3 linked regions of the Coturnix japonica genome follow. The protein of the gene in region 3 interacts with the protein of the main gene of each other region in a biochemical or structural test. Links are inferred from orthologs where the notes say so. Each region holds a gene or a part of one and is shown on either strand. Other genes may lie near its edges.

Region 1 (3,993 bases), on a different chromosome or scaffold from region 3:
GTGTCTCAGGTGCAGTAACTGGCACAACCAGTATGAGTAAAGCAAAAGCAACTGCCAGCACCAGGACTGCTGATCACAGCATATATCTGGTATTGGCAAGCCAAAGTGCTTCAGCATTACTGTCAAACCCCATGAGGAAATATATCTGCAGAGGAATGTAATTTGATAGCAAACTTTCAGCTTGGCTGGCTGTTGATAACTCTACCCTGCAAATGACCAAGGAAACAGATGGGTAGAGAGGCCTGTGTGGGTGTGAGGGGAGGAATGGAGTATCTGAAGGATGACAGCAGAAGCACACCTGCCTTTGGGATGACTCGAGGGTAGTGAGTATGAAACCAATGAACACGAGCTCTGACAAAAAGGACTTGCAGGTACTGGTACATGGCAAGCTGGATATGAGCCAGCAGTGTGCTCCTGCAACCCAGAAAGCCATCTGTACCCTGGGCTGCATCAAAATCAGCACAGCCAGCAAGTCGAGGAAGGTGATTCTGCTCCTTTATTCTGCACTGGTGAGACCTCACCTGGAGTACTGCATCCAGATGCGGAGGAGAGACGTGGATCTGTTGGGAGTGCAACTAGAGGAGGGACACAGAAACGACCCAAGGAGTGGAACACCTCTCCTATGAGGACAGGGTGAGAGCTGGGGCTACACACAGACGCTGTAGCAGACTGCAGCCTCGAACACGATGTAACAAACAATCAATGAGCGGATTAAAGCTTCCGTGTCCTTGTTTCTTACAGCAGCTGAACCTTTATTCGCGGTGTTGGCCAAGCAGCTCCTCCCATTCTCCGAAGCTCCCTCGGTGTCCGCCCATCCCGCCGTGCTATGGCAGCCGAGGCACCGATAGTTCGCTCTGCAGCTGCCGTCGCGCCGCCTCCCGCGCCCCGTACAGCACGTAGCCCCAGGAAAGCAACACCAAAGCGGCCAGCACCTACGAAACCAACAGTCAGCACCAGCCTCAAGCTGCCTACCCCAGAGCTGCCTATCCCAGACCCTCGCCCCCCACCCCACGCACCAGGCGGTAAAGCGGGCGCGGATCCCGCCGCTCCTGAGGCAACATGGCGGGCAGCCGGCCGGAAGTCCACTACCCGCTGCTTCCGCACGGCACTACGGTATCATCAGGTAGAGCGGAAGTGACGTATAAAACCATCGACCGGTGTTGTGACGTCATATGGCGCCGCCCCGCTGCCGGGGGGTGGGGGGGGGACAGTTCCCTTGGCAACGCCACTTCCGCCGGCGATGTCGGAGGCTCCGCTTGGCGTGGCGAAGGCCGCGCGGCAACGCCGCCATCCCGCGGGGGACGAGCGGCGGGACGGGGCCAACAACGTGTGCAGCCGGTCACGGCACGGGCTGAAGGCACCATCGGGCCGGACTCGAGCTCGGAGCGAGGGCTCGGCAGAGGTGAGCAACCGCGGTTGTCGGCCCAGCGGAAGGAACGGGGTGGGCCTGGGTGGAGGAGCGTGTCCGTGTGGTCTGTGGGCACCGCGATCAGGGGGTGCTGTGGGGACTTGGGGAATCAAACTATAGCCCGACAGATAGAGAGCAGGTGTGGTTAATGCGCATATGGGGCATCGCTCCTCCTAACTTGCACAGCGTAGGACAAAAGCTTGGTACAGATATAGGCAGAGTTAATACATAATTAATAATTTTCCCGGAACCACAGAATCACAGAATTATCAAGGTTGGAAAAGACCTAGAAGATCATCTAGTCCAACCATTACCAATATTTCCCGGCTAAATTCGTATACTTATTCATTATTTTTCCCAAAAAATCTCTTAGCATACGGTCCCTCCCTCTTGCGCATGCGTCATGAGCAGTTGGGGGTCTCCTGGTGGTTGGTAGATGAAGGCTCATCGTCTTCCTGGTGAAGGCTTGTAGTCTATCACGCTATAAACTTCTAACCCTGTAGGGGAGAAGCCCTTGAGCCAGTTCTAACTTGCTTTGTCCATTGGTCACTTACACACTAAATGTTCTCAGAACACTTCCCTTTATGTCCTCCACCCCCCCTCCCCCCACTGTCCTAATCCCAGCTTGTTGCCATCCCCGTTCTTACAGCAGCCTCCATATATTTGCTTCTGTAAACTGTTTTTACCCTTCATTTCTGTGAACCATCTTTTACTCTTCAGGAAGCAGCGCAGGCATTTGTCTGCAGTACTGGTCCCCCACATAGCTTCAGACTAGGTGGATTAATGCTCAGTACTGCCGACAGCCTGGGGGAACAAAGGGGCTGTGGGTCTAAGGGTGGGTGCAGGGGTGACACCTGGCTGCAATATCATCCAAGCAAGAACACTTCTGTGCATTCCTGGACCACTCTTCTGGTCCAGCAATACGTACAGGGTGCACTCAGCGCTGCTGGACCAGCTAAATGCAAAGTGTTTTCAAAAGATAATTAACTTCTCCCATATTTCATATCTTAAGTGCTGGTTTCTTTTGGTAGTGTGCTTTGGAGGATTCTGTGTGAATCCTAATCTTACTGATTGTGCCAAAGTGGTGAGTAGGGGGAAGACACCAGCATTTATAGGCTCCATTTAAAGATGGCTGCACTGGAAAGCCTGATTTTTTTAAAGTGAAGAGAAGCAAGCAAAGCAGTTAAGTTGTACTGCTTCTCTGTTTCGTGTTCTCTCACAACTAATGCTGGCGTTTTTAACCTTATAGCTGACCGTTGCATGTTTCTGTGTATAGACTTAAACGCTTCTTTCTCTCAGGAAGAGTAATGATCTTTTTGTCTCTTTCTTTTGCAGAACACAACTAATGCAGCCAAGGAGTTTCCAGAAGACAGCAGCTTTTTGCCAAAAGCTAGCAACAGCAAGCTGCACCAGACCATGCCAACAGATGCCTCTCCTGACTCTAAGTGCCCCATTTGCTTGGACAGATTTGACAACGTTGCCTATCTAGATCGTTGCTTGCACAGATTCTGCTTCCGTTGTGTTCAGGAGTGGTCAAAAAACAAAGCAGAATGCCCACTCTGCAAACAGCCTTTCTTTTCTATTTTCCATACAGTTCGTGCTGAAGATGATTTTAAGGAATACATACTCAGACCTTCAGAAAATGGTTCTTTTGCCAGCCCTGATGGCCGGAGATTTCGTTACCGTACCACCTTAACGAGGGAACGCCGCACCTCCTCTTACCATAGAGGCAGTTCCTCTTCTCGAAGGACGCTGTCCCCTCCAGATAATGGGATTTTGTTTGAAGGGTTGTCCAGCCAACCTGTGCGGCAGAGAGATGGAGAGATTCAGCAGATGATAAGGAGGCTGGCCTCACGTAGGCAGGCTAGTGCAGAGGGCAGATCTCTGCGGCAGATCCAAGAGGAGGACATGATAAACTTCCGCAGAGCCCTGTACCGCACTGGTGTGCGTGTTCGTAGCATTCAGGATGGTGGCCGCTATCGAGACATTTCCGCAGAGTTTTTCCGCCACAACCCTGCTTGCCTACACAGGTTGGTTCCCTGGCTGAAGCGAGAGCTTACAGTCTTGTTTGGTGCCCATGGTTCTTTAGTTAATATTGTACAACACATCATCATGAGTAACGTGACCAGGTATGATCTGGAAAGCCAGGCTTTTGCTGATGATTTAAAGCCATTTCTACTGAATCGGACTGAACACTTCCTACATGAATTCATCAGTTTTGCCCGATGTCCTTTTAACTTAGAGGCATACGATCAGCATGCCAATTATGACTGTCCTGCGCCATCGTATGATGAAGGAAGCCGCTCAGACTCATCAATTATTACAATCTCTCCAGATGAGGCAGATCTTCAAGGGCCAGAACACAGTTCATCCGTGTCTGGGGTTGGTCAGGCCCCTTGGGACGATGAAACTCCAGGGCCTTCATATTCCATTTCAGAAGAGGTTCGTGCCACTGCAGCTTCTCCTCTGGAGATGTCAGAAAGTTCTGATGAGGATTCTGCTAGGAAAAGAACCACACTGCATCCTCAGTTACAGGCTGGTGTTGACTCCAATGAGAGTGACTCTTCATCAGACAACTGTGTTAT
Region 2 (4,245 bases), on a different chromosome or scaffold from region 3:
GTGCTCACACCATGAGCTTGGGCTCAGCACCATTTGGGATGTGGCCCAGGAAAGGGATGGGGGCATCCAAAGCCGTAATGGACAGCAGGATGTGGCACATCCATCCTCACCATCCAGCCCAAGGAAAGGAACTTTTGGTGCTGAGGATTTGGGGACCCCAGTGCCAGGGACGTTTATTTATTAGGACATAATCATGGAGCCCATCCCACCCCATAGGGATGCCCCTGTGGGATGCATAAGGATCAGATGCTGCTTTTCTTGCTAAGGGAACAGGGTCTATGCACACCACTGCGCCTTTGCTTTTCCATGAGCACTCTATTTAAGGCTTTGAGTTCTTCTCGTCTTTTGGGATATTCGTATTTCTTAATGACTTACAGGCACAGCCCAAATTAGAAACTGCCCACCTCAAAATGAGGCAGATCTCTTCCCACAAAACCCAAATCAGTCAAAATGTAATGCAATAAATGGCCATGAGGGGGTCCCCGGAGCTGAAAAACCCCAAACCAATGCTTTTGGACCAATGTTATGGGTTATTCTGCAGTCAGCATTGAAAGGAAAAGAGGACTGAGCCATGCATTGAGGACAGACCTATGGACAGATGAGTTGAGCACACGGGCAGCTCCAACATCACAGAGATTTATGGTCCAGCTGCAGGAAAATGCAATGAGCATCACTGGAATAAAAGGACTTGCTGGAAAGTGGGATATTGCCCAAATTCTGGGTGGTTCCCAGGTTTCATTCATGTGTTTTCAAATGGAAAGATGCATGTTCTGCAATATCACACCATCATGGCATAGAACAACCCATGTTGGAAGGGACCCCAAAGCTCATTGAGTCCAACTCCCTACTTCACCCAGGGCTGCCCTACATCAGAATGCAATATAATAACACATAACCTCATGACACAATATTCTGCAAACCTATTGAGTTTTTGTTCTTGAGCTTTTTGCTCTGTTGTTTGCTTGTTTGGTTGTTTGTTTTAATTACTCTGAGCATTACCATCATTATATTGATTTCACATCAGTATTGCTCTGCAACTCATGGTCTACAACAGTGGGGAATCAGTCTGGGGTTTGGGGTTGATTTCACCCCCACTGGGGTCTGCATTCCCCATTGAGCTCTAGGGATTGCCCTGGATATAAATCACATCCAGAAGTGCAGCATTCAGATCATCATCCCACTGGGATTAGGGTCGAGATGCAAAAGGTGCTCTGCTCACCCACAGCACCCATCCAAAGTGGCACCATCATATCCTAACAACCCTATTTTGACACCTCCCAAACCCTGCTTTTACCCCAAAAAGATGAACACCCTTTGGGTATCTTGCTCTTAGAATTAAGAGGAGAATAAAAGCCATGGGGTTACCCCAGCAGGGTTCAATGGGGATGGGTGTCCTGAGCAAGGCAGCAGAAGGGATTTGCTGTGCTTCAGCAGAAATCCTGCAATGCTGGGACACCAGCAAAGGGTGTAGACACGTCCCAGTCTCCAATCAGGCCCTGGAGGTTTGGCCATGGGCCCAATAAATGCTGAGCTGGAGGGTGGGGAGGCACTGAGCCTGCAGGCAGCTGGAGGAGGAAGAGGATGAGCACTGGGGTGCTGAGCCCTGGGGGGCACAGAGCCTCCAGCAGCCCCCAGCAGACCTCGTCCAGACCTCGGACGTCCTTCCTCATCCAGGACATCCTATGGGATGGGGTTGAAAATGGGGCACAGATGGATCAAGGTGGGATACCAGAGGATGGAGAGCAGCAGGATGGCCCTGGAGTGTCCCCAGCACAGCCCCACGATGTGAATGAAGGTAAGGGGGGGGTGTTGTGGGATACTTACCCTTAGAGCAGGATGAGGGTTCAGCTTTGAATTCCTCTGACCTAAACAACCCATGCATTCCCAAGTTACTCAGGCTTCAAATGCAAGGAGCATTGAGAGCAACAGCAACTGCATGCAAAGCATTCTGCAGGCAATTCAGCTAACTCAAAGCACAGGAGCAACCTCCAACTTTGGTTATTAAAAAGCCTAGAGGATGCATTTCTGCAATAGCAAGCTTAAGATTCCTTTTAATGCAAATGCAACCCTTGGTGCAGCTGTTGGGTGCTGCTGCTGCTGTACTTACAGTGCATTGATTGCAGCTCACTGTTGCACTTGCTGCTTGTTTTCCTGCATGCTCAGCACCAGCTGCAATGCTTTGCTCCTGCCTGTTGCACTGCAGACTATGTGTATATGCTGGTTCTCAGCACCAGTTGCAACGCTCTGCTCCTACCTATTGCATTGCATATAATGCGTGTTATGCACATCAGCCTTACTCCTATAGAAACAACCCCAGCAGCACCTCCTTTTAGCATGCAGTGGCTAAACCTGCAGAAGCAGCGTGCTGCAAATCGCATGCAATTGCATTAAAACTCAGATGCAGTGCAGCTTTGAGCTGTGCAATGGGAGCAGCTGAGCTGCAACATCCAATAAGCAAAGCTGAGCTTGCTAAGAGAGACCTTGCAAGGGGAATCTGGGCTCTCTGTGTCGCTTCTGTTAATAGAAGCTCCTATATAAAAGTGAATAAAGGGCTGGAGAGGTTTGCACAGCTTACAGGTGATGCTGTAAAAATCCCAATGGCACCTTGTATGCAACAGCAGAGCCTCGAGATGTCACCAGCAATGAAAAATGGCCCTTTTGGGGGTTGCTTTTTCCTTGTAGGAGCTAAAAGAGGGGGTTGTTTGGGAGAAAATAGCTCCCTTGGATGAGATTAAGTCTATCAAGCAGAGAAATCACTGTGTTGGAGGATCTCCAGGGTGGTGGGGAGGTTTTGCTCTATAGGAAGGGGTAGGAAAGGGGAAAAATAAGTAGGGAAATCAGAGGTTTGGGTGATGGGAAAATGAGAAAACAAGTGATTGGGGCGATGAAAACAGAGGAAATAAGTGATGTGGGTGATGAAAAGCAAGGAGAAAACGTGATTTGTGAATATTTTGCTCTGTGGAAGTGAATGGAAAAGGAGAAATGTGAGTAATGACAGAACAAGTGACTTGGGTGATGAAAATGGAGGAAACAAATGATTTGGGTGAGCAAAAGTAAGGAGATAAGGGGTCTGGGCAACTAGAAAGCAAGGAGGAAAGTGGCTTCTGAATGCTTCACTCTATGGAGAGGATAAGAAAGAAAGAAGTGAGGAAATAGGCAGTCTGGATGGTGAAAATACTGAGAGAAAAAGTGATTTGGGTGATGAAAACCCAAATAACCCAGAGTTTGGGGCAGTTCTCAGTGTGTGATGCTCAGCCCTCTCCCCTTACAGATGCTGATAACTCCCCATGCAGCCATGATCCACCCCAGAAGGTGCTGCCCAGACCCCCCCGGCCAGCAAAGCGCTCACGGGCAGCCTTCACCCACAGCCAAGTGTTGGAGCTGGAGAGGAACTTCAGCCGCCAGAAGTACCTGTCAGCCCCTGAACGTGCCCACCTGGCCCAGAACCTGCAGCTGAGTGAGACACAGGTGAAGATCTGGTTCCAGAACCGCCGCTACAAGACCAAGAGGAGAGCGGGGGGCTCCAGCCTGGAGGTTGGGACCACTCATAAAGCATCTATTCTACCCCCAGCCCCACTGCTGGCACTACATGGGGCTGCTCGCTGCCTGCCCTGCCTCTGTTACTGGAGCCCTGCTGTGTGGTGAGAGCTGTGCATGGTGTGTTTTTTAGCCCACCCCCCTCATGCCATGGTGCCCTTGGCCATGTTGATTCAGAGATGTCGACTTCGAGTGTCCTCTTGTGCAGTTCCAGCCTCTGTCATCGTGAGAGTTTTAGCCAAAGAAATCAGAAATGATCAAAAATTAAAGATCCAGATTATAATTATTATTACTATTATTATTGCTATTATTATTATTACTATTATCAATAATAAATCCCCGAAGCTTTTACTAGGCTCAATCTGCAGCAAAGAATCCCAGGCGATGCTCAGCACCCTCTCATTGCATCACCACCCTTTCTCAGTGCCAGGCTTTTAGCCAGAGAAACAAAAAGCCCTACAAACTAAACATCCTCAAAGCTTCTAACAGTGATCAAACAGGGCACTGTTTTGGGGGCAGAAAGCAAGATATGATGAGTGCCTGTAAAAACACAGTCCCCCATCCATCCCTCTGCTTATACCCCCAATTCTTTGCCCCCCATCACTGATTGGGTGAAGCACAACAGCTCACCCCATACACCAGCTGTTTCATCTCAAAAAATATCTGCATTTCCACCTGCAATCCATCAATTGCAAATCTCCCCCAAGG
Region 3 (3,511 bases):
TCTTCTCTATAGGAATTCCCCACTTCTTACACCTGCAGGAAAAGAGATGCTGTTAAGTGTCAGCCCAGCACGGGCTCTCGTGGTGCAGCTCCATTACAGGAGCAGGACCAGCCTCCCATTGCTGCACCCTGCACGTTCTGACCCATCCCCTCTCAGCATAGAGCTGGCCATGACTGGCACGTGGAACCTGGCCCAAGAGATCCACTGAAACCACATGAAGACAGAAGGGAAGGCCATAAAGAGGCAGACCTCCTCGGCAGCACAAGGGCGCTGCTCGCATCCACAGCCCTTGCCTACAGACTGTAGGATTACACGCACGTGAAGGAGCAGTTCTGCACAGCCCAGACACTTACCAAGCAACAGAGATCCTAGGATCCAGATAGTTGAGTTTGGAGGTGCTCAAGGCGATCTGCTTGTTCTCCTCCCTATCTGTAGCCTGAACCTCCAACTTCATCAGCTGCTCCTCAATCCTCTGTACTGCTTTCTTCTTGCTCTCCACTGCCCTGGGGGTGAGGGAGGAAAAAACAGTTAATGCCTAATGCCCTGCTGGGCTTCAGACAGCAGTGCTGTGGGAAGGCAAAGGGACTCTGCTCCATGTAAGCAATGCCACCAGCCTCAAAAGGCAGTTGTGTCAGCAGAGATGGTGACACAAAACACTCAGCACATGCAATTAAGAACTGACATTTTGAAAGATGCAGCACAGAAATCCTAAGCAGTAGTTTTGTTTTAAAGGGTTGGAAGCAACAGCCTCAACTACACTGATGCTACACCCACTTTAAAACCAACCCACCTATCCCTCTGTAATAGTCATGTTGTGATTCTGCCTTCAGAGCTCCCTTAACCCAGCAGCCCTGTGACTACTCTGCAGAGCACAGACGGCTTGAAGGCCATTTCTTCATGCACAGAAGAAAGAGGGGATAAGAAAGCTTGAGAAAGTCTTCCCAAATCAATTGGATCACAGGCTGGGGAAACAGAACAGAGGGCTGAAGCACCCAATTTGAGCTCGAGGTACTGGGAGCATTGCACAGCCTAGTAGTACCAGCCTTACTTTTTAGACTTCTCATCCCTCCGGACCTTGGCATCAGCTTTGGCGCTTTTCAGTTCTCTCCTGGCATCAGCTAACTGCTCCTTCTTGGCATCGATCTAGGAGAGGCAAAACCAGAGGGCGGCACTGTCAACAAGCTGCAGACAACTGTGGCAGTCACCCCTGGGCAGCAGGACCAAAGGAGTGAGTTTGTGACCAAGTTCAGAATTTATCAGCACTCAGGTGCACTTCTGCAGAACAACAAGGCCACTAGCTTTTCAGTTTACTGCAAATGCTATAGATGTGAGAACTTCCCCTTGGAAAACAGGGTTCCAGTCATTGCCAAAGACAAGGTGGCGTGCTGGCAGAAAGCTCCTGGAAGCCTTCTAATAAAGCTACAATGAAGCAGGCAAAGGGACCTGCCAACAGCCCATCTAGGCAGCTTGTCTATCTTGAATGTATCCCACCAGTACCAGTTCTGAAAGTACCATGGAAGAATGATCCCTTTTCCCTCCACAGGGATCTGTTGTTGCCCCCAAATCTTTCAGGCTGAAAAGTATTACGGCTTCAAGCAGTTCTCCACTGGTAAAATTAGGATTTGGGGAGATTCAGCATTATGCAGCCCCTTCAGCCAATCCCCCTTAAACATTCCCCCGGCTCTAAGATCTAGGGTGAAGGCAGCCATGTTAGGTGTTACAGAAGCAGGGGTCACTGCAGTGCAAACCAGAAGTCCTGACTGTGAAGGTTATTCTAAAGACAGACCAGAAGCAGACCTATCCCCTTTGGACCTCACAACCTCCACCAGAAACAATTTGCGAAGGAAGAGGTCAAGTCAGAGGGGTACAATGTGTCACATATGCAGCCTGCACTGACAGTGGCCTGGGATTCACACAACTGGAGTAAGTGCCCACTCTGGGTTCTTCAGGGGATACAAATCAGAACTAGGCTGCTGCTCTAAAATTTTGATGGCAGCAGAACTCAATATCAGATAAGCAATGGAATAAAAGGGTCTGGTCATGGTCTTTACAAATGTAAGGGTACTAGAGCTCAAAGGTGGCCCTTTCAGCACAACACTGTGCTTCTGGAGTCTGCCTCTCCAAGCAGGCCCACCTGATGGAGCACTAACCAACTCCTGACAGGGAAACACAGGCTCTGCTTCCATTTCACCTCAAGTGAAAGGAAACATAACTCCTGGGACACAACACTTGGAGCCCTGCCCCAACCCAAGGGTTGGGGGGTACCTTGCTCTGCAGGTTCATCATGGACTTCTCAAAGGTCTTCGGTGGAGCCCTCTGGTGGTTACACAAAATGGCAACCGCTCTGTTGGCACGGTTATAGGAAAGGATCTTCGCTGGGATGTTATCATCCGCTGCAAAGTAAAAGAAAGTGGTGAACAACTCATGTCCTACAGGACTCAGCAGCCCCTATCAGCACTTCCCAACAACTCCACAAGCTCAAAATCAATGCAGGAATGACCTTGCCCTCTGATGGGACAGTCTCAACACTACATTCTAATCGAAGTGCTAAAAGCCTGAACACTTCCATTCCAAACCTTAACTCTTTCAACAGCAACAAAGACAACATTTGTCTCTCAAGAGATAAGGGAAGCATAACCATGCTCAATAGTGGAGTACTGCTCGAGGCACTGTTGGGCTTCAGTTTCCTCCAACATGTCCACTTTGTAAAGTCATTGAAGTGTAAGCTCGCAGCTCTCAGTGTGTCTGAGTGAGCAGCCAAGAACCATGGGGTTGTTTATAGAGACTGCCTGTCACCTATGGCATTTTACAGTTAACAGGAAACAAGTGGAGATTTGGTAAGGGCCAGGCACAACCTAGCAGGCAAACTGTAGTGTGCTCACAGATGAGCCCTGCGCTGCCTCAGCACTGGGCTGTTCAACCATTCCCACACTAGGAGAGCAGCAACCAGGGAGTGGCAGGCAGCTGGGAGGTTAAGTCATGCCTGTTCTGCAGGATGGGAACTGTCCCCCTCAAAGCTGCAAGGACAGGACTTACGGTTAGTGAGCTCCTTGAGCTGCTGCTGTAGCGTGATGGAGGCATTGTAAGTACGGAATACCTTGGCTGTCAGTCCCTCCATAAGGTCTTGAAGATGTTTATTTAAGATACTGGTCTAAGGAAGCAGAAAGGAGAAAACAGAATTAGAATTGACTACAGTACGGACATCTCTGGACACGCTGATGATGATGATACAGCTCACAGCAGAAGCATAGCTCATGTACTTGGACCTGATACCCAATGGCCAAAACATCACTGAAGCCACAAGAAAAGTGAACAAAGAACTGGTAAGTATTAGACTAGTATCAAGCACCACGAATGGTCATAGAACTTTTCTTCACTGTGGAGGTTTTGGTTCCCAGCAGGTAGAAACATGCCTATCCCATTCTACAGAGCGTGCTTATATCACCACAGTGCTCCCACAGAGCCAAACGTGTTAGGGATGGCTTCTCAAAGTCTGTCAACTCACAGTCAT

The links.
Region 1: of the proteins of TOP1 (region 3) and TOPORS, one has a biochemical effect on the other in vitro, tested with the Homo sapiens proteins (2 studies listed by BioGRID). The link is inferred for Coturnix japonica from reciprocal best matches to the Homo sapiens genes TOP1 and TOPORS.
Region 2: the proteins of TOP1 (region 3) and NKX3-1 form a complex in vitro, tested with the Homo sapiens proteins (2 studies listed by BioGRID and IntAct). The link is inferred for Coturnix japonica from reciprocal best matches to the Homo sapiens genes TOP1 and NKX3-1.

The regions. Positions count from the first base shown.
Region 1 is NC_029547.1:59,568,158-59,572,150, forward strand, and holds the start of TOPORS (E3 ubiquitin-protein ligase Topors), read left to right. Parts: upstream 1-1,188; 5' UTR 1,189-1,240; coding exon 1,241-1,402; intron 1,403-2,743; coding exon 2,744-3,993. UniProt on the Homo sapiens protein: Functions as an E3 ubiquitin-protein ligase and as an E3 SUMO1-protein ligase. Probable tumor suppressor involved in cell growth, cell proliferation and apoptosis that regulates p53/TP53 stability through ubiquitin-dependent degradation.
Region 2 is NC_029537.1:2,308,701-2,312,945, forward strand, and holds the start of NKX3-1 (homeobox protein Nkx-3.1), read left to right. Parts: upstream 1-1,440; 5' UTR 1,441-1,581; coding exon 1,582-1,795; intron 1,796-3,271; coding exon 3,272-3,645; 3' UTR 3,646-4,245. Other genes in the region: NKX2-6 (homeobox protein Nkx-2.6), read left to right, coding at 1-15.
Region 3 is NC_029535.1:4,190,328-4,193,838, reverse strand, and holds part of TOP1 (DNA topoisomerase 1), read right to left. Parts: intron 3,152-3,511; coding exon 3,037-3,151; intron 2,394-3,036; coding exon 2,266-2,393; intron 1,144-2,265; coding exon 1,049-1,143; intron 504-1,048; coding exon 354-503; intron 33-353; coding exon 1-32. UniProt on the Homo sapiens protein: Releases the supercoiling and torsional tension of DNA introduced during the DNA replication and transcription by transiently cleaving and rejoining one strand of the DNA duplex.